Callithrix jacchus: one gene and its partner. The main gene of each other region encodes a partner of the protein of the gene in region 2 in a complex. Links are inferred from orthologs where the notes say so. Each region holds a gene or a part of one and is shown on either strand. Other genes may lie near its edges.

The links. Proteins that work in one complex are often made in the same cells at the same time.
Region 1: the proteins of DBF4 (region 2) and CDC7 are in contact, whole or in part, in a crystal structure (PDB 6YA8), measured with the Homo sapiens proteins. The link is inferred for Callithrix jacchus from reciprocal best matches to the Homo sapiens genes DBF4 and CDC7. Residues at the interface, in NP_006707.1 of Homo sapiens: Thr210, Arg211, Thr212, Gly213, Arg214, Leu215, Lys217, Pro218, Phe219, Val220, Lys221, Val222, Glu223, Asp224, Met225, Ser226, Gln227, Leu228, Tyr229, Arg230, Pro231, Phe232, Tyr233, Leu234, Leu236, Met239, Pro240, Ile242, Asn243, Tyr244; in NP_001127891.1 of Homo sapiens: Asn56, Val57, Phe58, Ala77, Gln78, Leu79, Gln80, Ile87, Ile93, Pro94, Thr95, Ser96, His97, Pro98, Ile99, Arg100, Ile101, Ala102, Leu105, Gln106, Thr109, Lys121, Tyr122, Cys123, Phe124, Arg125, Asn127, Asp128, Val130, Leu143.

What each region holds. Positions count from the first base shown.
Region 1 is NC_133508.1:128,964,948-128,969,754, forward strand, and holds part of CDC7 (cell division cycle 7-related protein kinase), read left to right. Parts: intron 1-2,310; coding exon 2,311-2,394; intron 2,395-2,703; coding exon 2,704-2,839; intron 2,840-4,807. UniProt on the Homo sapiens protein: Kinase involved in initiation of DNA replication. Phosphorylates critical substrates that regulate the G1/S phase transition and initiation of DNA replication, such as MCM proteins and CLASPIN.
Region 2 is NC_133512.1:61,833,790-61,838,589, forward strand, and holds part of DBF4 (protein DBF4 homolog A), read right to left. Parts: intron 1,984-4,800; coding exon 1,859-1,983; intron 1-1,858. UniProt on the Homo sapiens protein: Regulatory subunit for CDC7 which activates its kinase activity thereby playing a central role in DNA replication and cell proliferation. Required for progression of S phase.

The DNA.
Region 1 (4,807 bases), on a different chromosome or scaffold from region 2:
AATCCTCACAGTATCTCAGTAGCATGGCTATTATTACTACTCCTTTCCTATAGTTGGGAAAGCAGGTTCACAGAGATAAGCTGTGTCTTCAAGGAAAGTCACTAGCTGGTAAATAGTGGAGCCAGGATTGTAATTTAAGCCCCCATCTCTAAAGTAGTACACATAATTGCTATTTATGTTGCCTCTTGCATTGAAATCCATGAAGGTTCTCCAGTCCACATATGAAATACATGGGAAGGTGAGAGTGATTTAAATAAGTTCTTTGCATTTCCTTAGACAAGTTGATATAGTGGAAAGAACACAGGAGTAGATCTACCTGGCCCCTTATTCTCCAGCCGTTAATGTTCCTCCTCCCCTTCACATCTGTTCTTCACTTTTCATTTTTCTGCTTAAAAACTTTGTATAGCTTTCATTTGCATTCTCTGCTCTTCTCTTCCTCAGCCACATTCTATTTCTTTTATTTATTTATTATTATTATTATTACTATTATTTTTGATACGGGTTTTGCTCTCCTATCACCCAGGCTGGAGTAAAGTGACACGATCATATTTTAGTAGCCTCAAACTCCTGGGCTCAAGGTATCCTTCTGCCTCAGTCTCAGTAGCTGAGACTACAGGCATGTATTACAAAGCCCAGCTAATTTTTTTTTTTTTAAGAGATAGGTCTCAAAACACCTGGCCTCAAGCAGTCTTCTTCCTTTGGTCTCCTAAAGTGCTGAGATTAGAGGCCTGAGCTACCACCCCAGGCCACATTGTATGTCATTGTCTCTCAGCCCTCTCCCCCACCCTAATCATCCAAGCCTTATTTTCTTTTTCTTTTTCCCTGTCTTTACACAGTTAATTTTTTCTAAAATGTTTTCTTCCACTTTCACAGCTTGATTAATAGTTCAGAACAAAACTTAGCTGTCAACTGAAGCCTTCCTAGCACCTTCAGAAATCCTCCCCAACCTAATAGATTATGCATTCTTTTATTACAGGTATCACCTTGTATTAAGAGTGAATGTTTCCTCTACTGGACTAATGGCTGCACCAAATTTATTAGTATTTTAAATATGCCCATTGCTGAGCATTTTTTAAAACAGTGTTTAAATGAATGATTTCTGGCCAGGTGCGGTGGCTCACGCCTGTAATCCCATCACTTTGGGAGCCTGAGGTAGGCCGATCACTTGAGGTCAGGAGTTTGAGACTAGCCTGGCCAACATGGTAAAACCCTGTCTCTACTAAAAATACAAAAATTAGCCGGGTGTGGTAGCACACGCCTGTAATTTCAGCTGCTCACGAGGCTGAGAATTTCTTGAACCTGGGAGGCAGAGGTTACAGTGAGTGAAGATTACGTCACTGCACTCCAGCCTGGGTGACACAGCAAGACTGTTTCAAAAAAAAGAAAACTAGAAAATATATATAATAAAAATAAAAGAATGAGTTCTGCAGACATTAGCAACACCTCTGTGAAAGTGAGCAAATGATTTAACCTCCCTAAGTTGAGTTTCCTTATCTGAAAAATCAGGATAATAATTCCTGTTCCACCAAGTTCACAGTACTATTGGGAAGATCTGTAAAGATAATGCTTGTGCAAGTACTTTGAAAATGTCTTAAACCTATGCAATGTAGGGCTAGTAAAGCCTAGGTACTGTAATAAAATCTGAAGACCCTTGGGTAGTTCTCTTCTGTATCCCGTCGTTTACTGGGTCTTTATTATTGCCTCTCTTATTTTAACCATGTACATTTTTATAAATAACTGATATTTATTTAAAAGTAGCAATTTATCTGCAGTCAAGGATAAAGGATACTACTGGCAATTGGGACAAATTAAAAAAAATTTTTTTTATATGCTTGAGAGCTTTAGTAGGCCTTCTCTCTGAAAATATAGTGTGAATATTCAAAACATAAAATTTCACCAAGCTTTTAAGATTTTGTCTTTACGGGAAATAGTTTTCAAGAGCATCACATTGTGTCCTTGGCATGCCATCTAGTGATCACAGCACAAATTGTTTAGTTATTTTAAAAATTTAGCTGCTTTATCGTGGTGTAATTTATACAGTAACAATGTATTTATTAGTATATAATTTCAGTATAGTAGAAATTTGGTGTATTTAATTCTGAGACTATTCTTTTTGTCTATTGGTTCAAGAGGTGTGTGTGTGAGTTATAGCAACTTGATAGGGGTTTAATCTTATCACAATTTTATTAAAACTTATTTATAATTAATTATTCATGTTTTAGAATTTATTTCATTGAGCTTTTTAAATTTTAAGAAACTATAAAATATACTGTCATTGATTAAAACTTTAAATTTTTGTTTCCTTGAAAGGTGTTAAAAAAGATATTGAGAAGCTTTATGAAGCTGTACCACAGCTTAGTAATGTGTTTAAGATTAAGGACAAAATTGGAGAAGGTAATATGCTTTACTATTTTTACAAGGTTTTTTTCCCTCCTGTTTTCCTTTTGTAATCTTGGTTTTCGTTACTATTTCTTATTAAAAATATGTACCGCTTTTTAGATTATTAAGACCATGGTTTTATTACCAATTATGATGACAACTTTTTCAACCTCAAAGAAAGAATAAATAATAGACATTTACAGTAAAATGAAGTCCTGTTTTAATCTATTATGCCATTGAAACAGTTTTTACAATCTATCTTAGAATTGTTTCATTAACATTTTTAAAAACCAGATATTGAAAATCTAATAAATTGTTTTACAGGCACTTTCAGCTCTGTTTATTTGGCCACAGCACAGTTACAAGTAGGACCTGAAGAGAAAATTGCTCTCAAACACTTGATTCCAACAAGTCATCCTATAAGAATTGCAGCCGAACTTCAGTGCCTAACAGTGGCTGGGTAGGCAATTTAAACATTTTAATTGAACTTGTATATAATTTATAAGATTTTAAAATAGATACTTAGCAGGGATGATGAAATTATATGTGAATTAAATGCCTTTTTCAGTCAAGTGTTTGCAATTTGCTAGCACTTTCTTTCTAACCTCGCAATGGTTAAATTTATAGTACTTCTTTCAGATTGGATTTCCCTTGAGGCTCAGCTTGATTTCCTGTCTTTTATCACTGCTTTTTGTAACCTTCCTGCTAAATCATAAACCTTGGCTTTCATGATTTACATTATTTTGTAAATGTAGGGAACTCATATTTCACATTTCCCCAGCTATTGACAACCTCATCTAATACTTTATTTAGAATAACAGAATCATCTGATATGGTTTCTCTCTGCTAGGTCATTTCTGTCAACATATGGACATGATCTAGTATCTCATCCTCCTAAACTGCCCTCCTTCTTCCACATGCTCCATCATTTCTTTGCTCCCCTTTATAGCCAGACTTCTCAAAAATTATTTACATACATTGTTTTCATTCCACACCTCCCTTTCACTAAATACTCATTGCGGCTGCTCTCCTCTATACTAAACTGGAAACTATAGAGTCAACCATTACTCTAAGCATCATTTAACACAATTGACTTGAACCCTTGTTTTGACTTTGGTACTGCCGTACCCTCCTTGCTTTCTTCTTCCCTCATTTGGCTTTTCATTTTCAATGTCTGCCAGCTCTTCCCTTTCTACCTGACCCCTACATGTTGGAGTTCCTCGTGCTCGCTCTTGGGTTTCTCTGTATTCGCTTTAGTGTCCTCCATTTCCACTTGGTGTAAAGTAATGATTCCCAAAAGTATATAGTTAATCTCAGACCTTTTATCTTAACTACAGGTTTGTATATATCCACCTGCCTATTTAACATTTCCACTTGGTGCCTGATAAATACTCAAACCTAATATGCTAAAACTAAACCTTAACATGCCAAAAAAAAAACCCACCACAGAAAATATTTTATCTACCTGTCTCTGCAGATGGCCCAATCTACACACTTGTTCAGGCCAGAAACCTAGAAATCATCCTCATTTTCTCTGTTTCTCTCCTAAACCACATTAATCACTAAGTCCTAGCTGTTTTGCCTCTAAAATGTATCTAGAACTTCATCCATGTCTTTCTATCTTCTCTGCCACTACCTCAGCTGAAGCGTAGACTACTACTGTAGCCTGCTTCTTCTTTCTCCCCTTAATTCTGTCTTCACACAGCAGCCAGAATGATCTTTCAAATATAAAATACTTATGTGTCTAACTTAAATTGGGTCATTAATTCCACCACTTAAAAATCTTTCAATGGTGTTTCAATGTGTAGTTTGAAAAAAAATTCAACCTTCTTATGCCCATCTTCCCACCTCCCTCACTGTGCTCCATTTCTCTAGTTTCTCAGATTTGTTTCAATAGCTTTCTTACCTCAGGGCCACTGCCCAGACTGTTTCCTCATTTGGGAAGACTTCTCCCAGTCTTTGCCTGCTGACCTTTCCTCTTCTGATCTGAGCAAGAGTGAAACTAGGCGCAGTAGCTCATGCTTGTAATCCCAGCACTTTGGAAGGATTATTTGAGGCTAGGAGCTTGAGACCTGCCTGGGCAACATAATAAGATCCCATCTGTACAAAAAACTTAAAAGTTAGCCAGGCATGCTGGCACACACCTGTAGTCCCAGCTACTCGGGAGGCTGAGGTAGGAGGATCACTTGCACCCAGGAGTTCGAGGCTGCAGCGACCTGTGATCACACTACTGCACTCCATCTAGCCTGGTCAACAAAACGAGACCTTATCTCTAAGGAGAAAAAAAAGAGTAGCACTGCTTGAAAGATGTCTTCTCTGAATTAAGTTAGATTCTCCTATTTTTTTGTTGTTGTCACATCGTCTTTTGATTTCTTTCAAAGCCCTTACCATAATCTGTCATTATAAATTACCTTGTTATTATCTGTAT
Region 2 (4,800 bases):
TAAGGAACAACCAGTTTATAAATTATAATCATAAATGACTAGTTCAGAATTTTGCTACAGAGTTTTTAGAGAATTATACATTTTTGGAGTAGCCCATGTAATTTTGTTTTGTTTCGTTTTGTGAGAAAGAGTCTCTCTGTAACCCAGGCTAGAGTGCAGTGGCCTGATCTCAGCTCACTGCAACCTCCACTTCTCAGGTTCAAGTGATTTTTGTGCCTCAGACTCCTGAATAGCTGGGATTACAAGCATGTGTCACCACTAATTTTTTTTCAGTAGAAATGGGCTTTCACCATGATGGCCAGGCTGGTCTGGAACTCCTGGCTTCAAGTGATCTGCCTGCTTCAGCCTCTCAAAGCGCTGGGACTACAGGTGTGAGCCACCGCGCCCAGCCACAGCTCACATAGTTTTAATAGTTGGAAATATACCTCCTCTTCAAATCCATATTAAGTCAGTCATGAAACTATTCTGAATGTCACAGAAATTTGGGATTTAAGAACTCTTCTACCTGAAGTCAAAAAACTTTCTAGTTAATTTTCAGAAGCTGTATCTGGGTATCACATTTCTAATCTTCTTTATGCCTTAAGTAAGAGTACTCTAAAAATAAAGACTAACTTAATGAGTTATCACCACCTCTAGGGTATATTCATACAAAAGCATTTCTTTGTAAGTTTATGGGAATAATCTGATCAGGATAATTTTTGTCCACACACAGTCAGGGTACACTGGGCAGTACTGTATTCACACTTAAAAGTCCTGTCGGTATCTTCAGTAAATATACCCATCATAAGGGTTAGGTAAAGATATTTCGTGAAAGTATAAAGACCTAAGAGGCAAGTGGAGGAAGGTTTCTTAAAACTCCTTAATATTACCTAAAAGTTTGATAAAACTTTTTAGTCCGAATAAACGTTAAACTTTATGGTTCTATAACAGGAGTTGATGAACTATATAGTCTGTTGCCAAAATCTAGACTACAGTCTATTTTTCCAAATAAAATTGTATCAAAATACAGCCATATCCATTGTAAAATAAAGAAGCTAATTAGTTGCAACAGAGATCTTATGGCTCACAAAACCTAAAATATCAAATATCTGGCTCTTTATGGGAAAAGTCCATCAACTCCTTCTAAACTACAATGTCAAGAATGAGACTAATTAGTGGGGTGTAGTGGCATATGCCTGTAAACCCAATTACTCAAGAGGTTGAGACACGAGAATCTCTTGTACCTCAGAGGCAGAAGTTGCAGTGAGCCGAGAGAATGCAACAGCAGTCCAGCCTGGGTGATACAGCGAGACTCTGTCTCAAAATTAAACAAAAAATTTAAAAAAGAAAAAATTTTAGATAAAAAGAAAACTTAAAAACAATGGAAGTAAAAGTAGTCTAAGGTAAGCATCTTTGATAGTAGGGAAAAAGGGAAGGGAAGAAGTTACTGGTTTTTAACCATATTTACATCCTGAAAATACATATTCCTTCTAAGAACAGGCATACTGTGTTTATTTTTAGTTTAATAAAATAGTTTAATATTCTAGTATAATTTGTTTTATTTATGTATGTATTTATTTTTGAGATGGAGTCTCACTATCACCCAGGCTGGAGCACTGCAACCTCTACCTCCCAGATTCAAGGGATTATCCTGCCTCAGCCTCCCAAGTAGCTGGGATTACAGGTGTGCACCACCACACCCGGCTAATTTCTGTATTTTTTTTTTTTTTAAGTAGAGACAGGGTTTCGCCATGTTGGCCAGGCTGGTCTCCAACTCCTGACCTCAGGTGATCCTCCCAAAGTGCTGGGATTACAAGCATAAGCCACCACGCCCAGCCTTCTACTATAATTTAAAATTTAGGTTGATAGCACTAATTACCTTTTCTTTTTAGGTGTGTCCTTTTCATATTCCACAAAGTCAAAAACTAACTTAGATACAATATCATCAACAACTTGATACCGGTTACTCTGTGCAAAGTTTCTGTGTTGCTCACTTAGAAGGTGCTAAAACAAAATTAAAAACATGTATTAAAAAATTGTATTTTAAAACCAAGAGATGCCATTTTATTAAGGTTTTTTAACATTCTCATGCCCCTAAAATTAGGTTTCCAATAACTACTCCAAAGATAATATCTTTACTGACTTCAAAAGATGTTTAAAATAAAAGTCACTTCTGAGAAACCAGTAAAACTACTTTGGTTTTTAGTCTTCAGTGAGAAAAGACAAGTACTAATTTGTAGCTACAATGGAACTAAAAAGAATGAACTATGTCAGAAAACAAAAACACAGGTTGGGCACAGTGGCTCATGCCTGTAATCCCAGCACTTTGGGAGGCCGAGGCTAGCAAATCACCAGAGGTCAGGAGTTCAAGACCAGCTTGGCCAACATGGTGAAACCCCGCCTCTACTAAAAAAAAAAAAAAATCAGCCAGGTGTGGGGGGCACGTGCCTGTAGTACCAGCTACTCACAAGGCTGAGGCAGGGGAAACGCTTAAACCCTGGAGGCAGAGGTTGCAGTGAGCTGAGATGGCACCACTGCACTCTAGCCAGGGCAACAGAGTGAGACTCCATCTCAAAGAAAAAGGAAGATACAGATGGAGAGACACAACAGTAACATTTTGGAAAACACACTTCCCTCTATTACTTTGTCTTTAGGCAGTTACCACTAAGTAAGGCAGGACTTATAGAAAATTAATTACATATAAGTTAACATACAAGAATCCAGAAAGTAGATTAAACACAGGAACCACATTAAGTACTATGAAGTATTAAAAAAGCCAAGATTCATAATTAAAGAACACATTTGAAAATGAACAACAAAACAAATGATTTCAATTACCCAGTGCTCATAACAGAGTATACAGAAGTTATTCTCTTATTCTTAAGAACCAAAACTGCCAGGCGCGGTGGCTCACGCCTGTGATCCCAGCACTCTGGGAGGCCGAAAAGGGCAGATCACTTGAAGTCAAGAGTTTGAGACCCCAGCCTGGCCAACATGGTGAAATCCAGTCACTAATAAAAATACAAAAATTAGCCCATGCCTGTATTCCCAGCTACTGGGGGTGCTGAGGCAGGAGAACCTCTGGAACCTGGGAGGCAGAGGTTACAGTGAGCTGAGACTACACCACTGTACTCCAGCCTAGGTGAGAGAGCAAGACTCCATTTCAAAAAAAAAAAAAAAAAGGTAAAAAACAAAAGTAAACATGTTCACAGCATAGTGAGAGATAAAATTCATAGGAACAAAGTTCCTTTCGAATAGGTGGAATCTCCAGCCCAACTCTATCATTTGTCTATCAGCTGATCAGGGAATTGTACTTAGAAGCTTGCCTCCAGATGATCAGGAAAGATCTAATTTCTGTATCCCTAGTTTCATGCAGTTTTACATTTTGATGATTTGATTACAATTCTAAAAACATCTCCACTGGTCTCAAAAAAACACAATGCATCCTAGAACACCCATGTATTTCTTCCTTACTTGCAAGCTTTACCATACACAAATTATATATGCCCAGCAATAAAAATGAGCAATTATTTAAGTTTAAAAGGAAACATCACATTTGTAAGCTCTGATTCAGTCTACCAATGTTCTAGGAAGGAAAATTTCCAACTTTTATTTAGTTCCCTCTAATTTCCATTAAGTTCTTCTTATTCATCCTTAAAGTCTTAATTTAGAAGTCACTTGTGCTCAGTTGGGCCTTTTGGGACCCTCATTCTGCTTTAAGTAACCTCATTATTTATTCCCATTGCACTTCATACTTTACTTTTGTGACAGTCATCACATTTGCAAATTCGTATTTTCTATCTATGTACTTTGCCAGACCATAAGGTGTATAAGGGTAGGGATGTCACCTTATTTGTTACTTTATCTCCAGTATTCAAACGTATTTGTTAATTGAATCACTGTGAAACCTAACGTTCAAAAAAAATTTCTTTACTCTTGGCAGCTTAGAAACATACAAATGAAAACTGTAAAAACATGATCTTAAATTTCAATCCCAACCTCTGTGTTCACTAATTTTCCTTCTTTGTGGCAACCAGTGAACATTTTTTTTCATTTTTCAGCCTCGACATTTTCTGAGCACCAAATTAAGTATCCATTCCAGATTTTTTTTTTTTTTTTTTTGAGACGGAGTTTCGCTCTTGTTACCCAGGCTCGAGTGCAATGGCGCGATCTCGGCTCACCGCAACCTCCGCCTCCCGGGTTATTTTGTTGCTATACCAGCAAAGTAAAACTTCTGGACCAACACGTAATTTTAATTTTCAAAATGATTTTCAGGAAGGGAAAATATTTCTGAGATACTTTAGCTTCTGATTAAAAGCAATTTTAGACTAACTATAGTTTTCTCATTTATTACAAAAAAACAAAAACTACCACAAAACGCTAATATATTTTGGTTTATAAAACAAACTTCAATTCAGAGTCTGAAGACAGGTATGTTCAAGTATTATTCTTTCTCCTTAAGTTTCCCTCCATCTTTTACCAAAACCAAACCAAACACCAAAACAAACCTATCTACTACTTAAAAAATTCAAGTAACAGCTAACAATAAGCACTTACTATGTGCCAAACACTGTCCAAGGTCACATAGACAAGAAGCCAGCATTCAAACCTGGGCAGCTTGAATCCATAGGTGCTGCTCTTTTAATCAGTTTACAAACTATAGTATTTTCCCCATCCTCATCCTATATACTCTTTCCAACTCTTCCATTTCTTTCTCCTACCTCAATGAACTGTCTTTACTTCTTTCAACTCCTCTTCTCATTATAAATGAGGCTTTTTAAAAAATTGCTCAGGTTCAAAATCCTATAGTAACCATTGGAC